2 linked regions of the Tribolium castaneum genome follow. The main gene of each other region encodes a partner of the protein of the gene in region 2 in a complex. Links are inferred from orthologs where the notes say so. Each region holds a gene or a part of one and is shown on either strand. Other genes may lie near its edges. The genes, in order: Coq7; ubiquinone biosynthesis protein COQ4 homolog, mitochondrial.

The links.
Region 1: ubiquinone biosynthesis protein COQ4 homolog, mitochondrial (region 2) and Coq7 share a complex: the UniProt entries of both Caenorhabditis elegans proteins name them as parts of the multi-subunit COQ enzyme complex. The link is inferred for Tribolium castaneum from reciprocal best matches to the Caenorhabditis elegans genes coq-4 and clk-1.

The regions. Positions count from the first base shown.
Region 1 is NC_087398.1:2,222,096-2,224,841, forward strand, and holds Coq7 (5-demethoxyubiquinone hydroxylase, mitochondrial), read right to left. Parts: upstream 1,491-2,746; coding exon 915-1,490; 3' UTR 838-914; downstream 1-837. Other genes in the region: bifunctional peptidase and (3S)-lysyl hydroxylase JMJD7, read left to right, coding at 1,556-1,619, 1,720-1,891, 1,941-2,105, 2,260-2,426, 2,481-2,746. UniProt on the Caenorhabditis elegans protein: Catalyzes the hydroxylation of the 5-methoxy-2-methyl-3-(all-trans-polyprenyl)benzoquinone at the C6 position and participates in the biosynthesis of ubiquinone.
Region 2 is NC_087394.1:37,003,098-37,007,034, reverse strand, and holds the end of ubiquinone biosynthesis protein COQ4 homolog, mitochondrial, read left to right. Parts: intron 1-1,081; coding exon 1,082-1,233; intron 1,234-1,278; coding exon 1,279-1,448; intron 1,449-1,499; coding exon 1,500-1,629; intron 1,630-3,079; coding exon 3,080-3,173; intron 3,174-3,217; coding exon 3,218-3,386; 3' UTR 3,387-3,442; downstream 3,443-3,937. Other genes in the region: Gorab (RAB6-interacting golgin), read left to right, coding at 3,643-3,718, 3,770-3,937. UniProt on the Caenorhabditis elegans protein: Lyase that catalyzes the C1-decarboxylation of 4-hydroxy-3-methoxy-5-(all-trans-polyprenyl)benzoic acid into 2-methoxy-6-(all-trans-polyprenyl)phenol during ubiquinone biosynthesis.

The sequences.
Region 1 (2,746 bases), on a different chromosome or scaffold from region 2:
AGCGATATTCATAACAGAATTATTCTACTACACGAACGTCGGTGGTGTAGTAAGCTTGATGCTATTTATAGCAAACTCATTAAATCATCAAATTGTAAATAGAAATAAAATTTTCGGTTTTATTCATTCATGCACCCTATGTCTGCTCCATCCAAGATTACAATTACAAATAAGCTGTGATCACTGAATATTTTTTAAAGTATAAGTACACATTTATTACCATAGAATGAATGGACTAAAAGAATAAAAAACCGCAAGCAAATGGTTTGCGGAGTTTGTCGTTTATTTGAAATTATTTATTATCAGTTTTTATGATACATATTTCATTGAAGTAAGCATAAAATTAAACATTTCTAAGCGCAAACAATGAGTTGTAAAAAATTATTTTTACTTTTTAACGTTTTCACAATAACTCAAAATTTTAAATGTGTTGCTTCTGCTCGTAAAAGAGATATACACCATAATTACAGGCAGAATAATTTGTTAATAGAGCTAATGGTTTTCAAGTGGAACTTTGAAGGCTTGACGCAATTCAAAGCCTAAAATATTCAGCACAATTTCACTTCAAAACGTGCTATTATAACGCTGTAATTCGGCGCGTCTTTGTAATTTAATTAAGTAATTTAAAAAAAGAGTTGCAAAAGTATTATTTGTTTTTGCTTATGCAACCAAGAATACTAATGTGTGTGTATGCAAACCTTACTCAAAAAAGCCTCTCAAAATACAAAATTTAACTCAATTTACGCTGTTTTAGAAAAAAATAATAGTTTGACCTTTCCAATTTTTGTTTTTTTTTTCGTATTTTTATTGTTCAGGAGGTGAATGATAACAGAACAATTAACTTGAAATAGTATCTTTATTTAAAAAGTAAAGTCACAGACATTTATTTACAATAATAAATACACTGAGACAGTTTAAATGACTTTGGAGATGGCTATGGCCCCCTTGCACCCCAACTTGATCGCCTCAGTCAGAGCCTTATAAAAGGGCGCCTGCTCAGCCCCATGATCAATCCCACAATCATGGTGTTCCTGCTCCTCATCCCTAAACCTCGTAATAGTTTCCAACAACTCTTTATTCGCCTCAGGATCCTCCATCAGCTCCCTTAGCTGATCGTTATAATGATCCACAATAACCGTCTCGACAGCCACAGTGCACGCCATCGCTGCTTTGTCCCCCAAAAGGGCAGTCCCTGCCCCCAGAGCAAACCCAGCCACTTTCCAAATTGGAGTCATTACAGTGGGCCTGACGCGATGTTTTCTTATCAATTCCTCAAATTTGGCCCTATGGCCCTTTTCCTGGTCCCACATGTGTTTGATGATGGGGCCTTTGGAGGTGCTCCCTAACACTGCCATTTGACCGGCGTATATCACATCAGCCCCCAATTCACCGGCATGATCGACACGAATTATTTCCTCGATCTTGCATTTTGAGGATACCGAGCGCGTGAGGAGCCTCAAAGGGGCGCTTTGGGGGCGAAATGCGAGCATTATTGCGTTGTAAACAGGCGGCTTGAAACAGAACCTCACTTTTTTGGCAGGAGAAGCTCAAAATTATGTGTGATAAGACCGATAATAAAGTTGCAGAGGCGTTGGAGGTTTTGAAAACTGAGACCTCAGGTAATAATTGACATGTTTTAGGTACTGTCCCGGTGTAAATTTCACAAATTTGGAAAAAATTATGACATAACCTCGGTTTTTGTTTTTATTATTATTTTAGAATTGATACATGTGTGCCCCGAAGTTCCCGTGATTAATGTTAATGAGACTTTGAAGGCTGATTGGCCGTTGCGTTTTTATCGAAACTTTGTGGCCAAAAATTATCCAGTCGTGATAAGAGGCGGTTGTAAACATTTTCCAGCAGTATCAAAATGGAATTCACGATTTTTTTTGTAAAATAATTTAAACATCTAGACATGTTTTGCAAGGGTTTTATTGTAGGGAGGCCATTCCAAATAAAGAGGTGACAGTTGCCGTTACCCCTAATGGGTATGCGGATGGTTTGGCCACAAAAACCACAGAAAAAGGCAAAGTTCATTATTTTGTAATGCCGGAAGAAATCAAAATGCCGATGAGGGAGTTTATTAAAAAAATGGACGATGTCAGGTCAGTTAAATTAAATTATTTGAAATCGTCAAGTAGGTTTTAAAGTGTCGGGTTATCCTTGTTGTCAGGTTGGTAAACGTCGTTCAAAATTCAGTAGCAGTTTTGCCAATATATTTTTTTAATTTTTATAGTCATTTATTTAAAAATGTTTCAGTAAGCAATACATTTGCTACATTCAGAAACAAAACTCGAATTTGACTGAAGACTTTAGTGAGTTAATGTGCGACGTCCAGTCTGAAATTCCTTGGGCTTCTAAGGCTTTTGACAAAACTCCAGATGCTGTGAATTTTTGGATGGGTGATGCACGTGCTATTACTAGTAGTAAGTGCTTGGAATATTTTAAAAATTATTGTAAAAGCCAGCAAAAATTTTTAGTGCATAAAGACCCTTATGAGAACATTTATTGCGTGATAGATGGTTTCAAAGACTTTATACTTATCCCTCCAACTGATTTGCCATATGTACCATATAAAACGTATCCTGTGGGAACGTACAAAGACGTAATGAACAAGAAATGCTTCATTGAAGACCACAAAGGGGAAAAAATTGAATGGATCGCTATTGATCCTTTAAAAAGAAATCACCACGACAAATATCCACAATTTAAAAACGCAACTCAGTACAAAGTTCGGATAAAAAGC
Region 2 (3,937 bases):
AGGTACAATATAAACAACTATATTATTGTGCATGTGGATAAAGTTACGTCTGACAGAACCATGCCTTCAAAGTATACATATTTCGTGTTTTTGAATTTATGTTAACAATGTTTACAAGAAAATAGAACATGTCAATATAATATAATTCTAATTTTCTAATTTTTTTTCTAAATTCAAGACATTTTTCAAAAACGCAATAGTGTTTATAAACATAGTTTTTAAATTAAATTATACAAAATTAGTGAATTTATTTAAATTCTAGTAATTTAGGTTCGTTGAGTCGGTGTTTTTCTATAGTTAAAGATTAAAATATTTAATAAATCAAAGTTTAGAAAAATTCTAAGAAAAAGTCTCACAATAGTACGAATTATTAAACAAAGTAACAAAAAAATAAACTTAAATTTTGCGTCACATGTGAAATTGAATTCATCGTAGTTTTCGAAATCTGTTGTAATGAGGTTTCACTGCAATAAAAAAATTGCATGTTCAGACTGAAAAAATAGAATAACGAATTTTATTTTCTAAATTCTAACAGATTAGAAATTTAATTGAAGGCATGGTATTTCGTATGGTTATTTTTTTTAAATAAACATTTGGTGATTCTGTTTACATTTACTAGACTGTACAATTTACATTTGCCAGTTGTTTCCATAACTTTTAGTTTTAATTTCAAAATATCACCTTGGATTAGTTAAAGCACATTTTATCTAAAAACTATTTTACGGTCTTGCGTCAGTAATTATTTATTTATTGCGCCTATAAATACCGATAGTGTGTTTAAAAGGACTCAAATTTAAGCTTCCGTTGACTGGAGACCCTATTATTTAGTGCCATCAATCGTGTACTGATTATTTAGTTACGACTAGTTTAAATTTATTATAAAATATTACCAAAGTTTTATCTCATTAATAACACAATGTACCAAATTCCGTTGCAATGTCGATAATCCTGTGATTTTAATGTCGATAATATTATAATAAATAGACACAATTTATTTTAATTGTCTCGTTTCATTGTGGGCCCTTGATCAATTCCAGATGCTCCGATTGCGTAACAATTTGAAATTAAGTCGCCAAATAAGCACGAATTTTGATAAATTCGAAAGCGATTTTCACAAAAATCACATTCCGATCAATGACTTTCAACGGGGACTTCTCGCTATGGGATCGGCTTTGATGTCATTAGTCGATCCATTTCGGCATGACATGATCGCCTGTTTGGGAGAGACTGCAGGTAATTTTAATTACCTCGTATTTAACACACTTAAGTAATTGTTAGGAATGTCCGCCATCACTTACATGAAGCAAAAAATGGAGAGTTCACCAGAAGGCGCCGAAATTCTCAAATCACGTCCGAGGATCAACTCAAAAACTGTCGATTTAAACAAATTAAGGACATTTCCTGAGGGAACCCTCGGTCGTGTTTATGTTAAATGGCTCGATGATAATGTATTAATTATTTTAGGGTGTTTTTATTTTTTCGGTGAGATTTGTTTGTAGAATGTTACGCCCGATTCACGTATGGCTGTTCAATTTGTCGATGACATTGATTGTGCGTACGTTTTGCAACGCTATAGAGAAGCGCATGATTTATTTCATGCCGTTTTGGAAATGCCCACAAATATGTTAGGTGAGAGAAGTGAATTAATGCTTAGGTCATCAAAATTCGATGATTACATCGCAATCAGACACGAAGGTTGTTTATGCGAATAACTGAGATAAATAATAATTACATAGTTGGTTTTGTTGCTTCTGACACGTGTCTTTTTTCCATTAATTTGGCATTTTTCTATTCTCAGTGGTAGAATTAAACTTGCTTAAGATAAGATAAGACAATTATTACAAATGTGAGTCCACAAAAATAATTCTGTTTAAGTAGATTCTGACTAAATTAGTTTTATGCCAGATTCTTAATTAAAAAAAAACTGAAAACTTTAACTAAAACAAATAGAAAATCGTTAAAGTAGATAATGTGTCATCTGCTGCAGAATTGGGAAAGTCAATGAATTATTAACGAATTCCAAAATTAAATTTACTGCTAATTTCGAAAAAAACTGGAAAAACTAAATAGAATGTTGTAAAATTATTAACAGAAATGTATTACTTTCCATGAATTGATGGTTTTAATATTTAACAGAGAATTATAGAAACTTTTTATCAAAAAAAATTTGAGAATTTGTCAAAACATTGTAGAAATACAGGTAAATTAGGTCTGAATTTTTTTATTAATTTAGGAAACTTTTTAGTGACTTACTAAATTAATTAGAAGTATTTTGCCAAAACAGGGCAGAAAATCGAATGCACTATTTTTGTTTATTTAGGAACATTTTTCAGTGAAAGTGACTTTTTCCAAAACAAAAATATTTTTACAAAAAATCATAAAATTAACTATAAAATGTGTTTTTTGAGCTGGTTTTAATTGATTTAGAAAGTTTTTTGACGAGAATTTCCTTTGAATCCGAAAGACTTTGTCGAACAAAAGTAAAAAATTGCAAGATTAACACATTACTCTCTAAAAATTTAAGACAATTTCTGACGCAAAATTTGTAAATAAAATGCGTTGCTTTTTTTGGCGAGAAATTCACTAATTTCTAAAGGTTTTGTTGAAACAATGCAGAAGATATTTGCATAATTATCGCTAAATTAAGTTAATTAAAATTAACGATAAATTTACAAAATCTGAAGGTCTAAAGTGTTGCTCGGAATTTGGGAGCATTTTTGGGTGACTTGACGTTGTGGAATTTTATATATATATTTTTTTGAACTCAGTGCCCCAAAAATAGCAGAAATTAAACTTTCATTATTGTGTAAAGTAGAGTTATTATCTATGGCAGAATTATCCTTTTTCAGATAAGATATTTTAAGATAAAATAAAGAACATTTATTATGAATATGACCATTCAAAAACACTTCTGTTTAAGTAGATTAGAACAGATTAAATTATGAGTTGAATTAACTCTAATCTAGGAATTTTTTAAATTACGAGATTTTTGGCATTTTCCAGCTTTAGATTTTTCAATTTAAATTATTAAAAAAAATACAAAAAAAAATAGTTAGGGTTCAAATAAAATTAATTATAGGTGAAGTAACTGTTAAATGGTACGAAGCGATTCAAACAAGGCTTCCAATGTGCATTGGAGCGGCTATTTTTGGCCCAATTCGACTAAAACCAAAGTGAGTAATTTTTTAAAATAATTTTTGTCAACACATTATTTTAGGCATCGCAACTTGTATAAAAAGTATTATCTTCCATGGGCAATTGAAACAGCAAATAGTAGTAATTTTTTGCTAAATACATTTTTTGAAAAACGGTGGGAACAACCATTGGCTGAATTACACCAAGAATTAAACATCAAACCGTTTATTTTACCACAAACTAGGAGTTAATTATTTATTTGCGTTGAATAATAGTTGTGTAGTTTATTAATAAATGATTATCCTTGCTTATGACGTTATTATATTTACCTCGAATTCTTTGATGCTTAATAATTTACGGAAATCGTGAGTGGGTTTGCGCATGTGCGACTTAAATCATAGCTTAAGCACAAGTTTAATGCACTCTCCCTTCCATTTAATTTTGACAGTTTGCTGTGTTGTCAAATAACCTAAATGTGTCATTTTGAAAAGGAAAAAAGTCATTATTATGTCATTTTCGGGCTTTAGCGAAGATGATATTCGCAAATTAACTAAAGCTCCAGATGTTAATAAGCCACAGAAAGGTATAAACTAATCACAATTACTGTAATTTGGTTAATTAATTTTAATTGAAGGTTCTCACAAAACTGCCTTAAAGAAAGTAACTTTTAAACCAAATAACACAAACACAACTCGAACTAAAACAATCCTCAGTAATATAACCAATAACTTGCCTCAAGAAACCCCCGAAAATGCTAAACTAAGTGTACAAAATAGTGTAGTGCCAGATCCAGAGCCAAAAA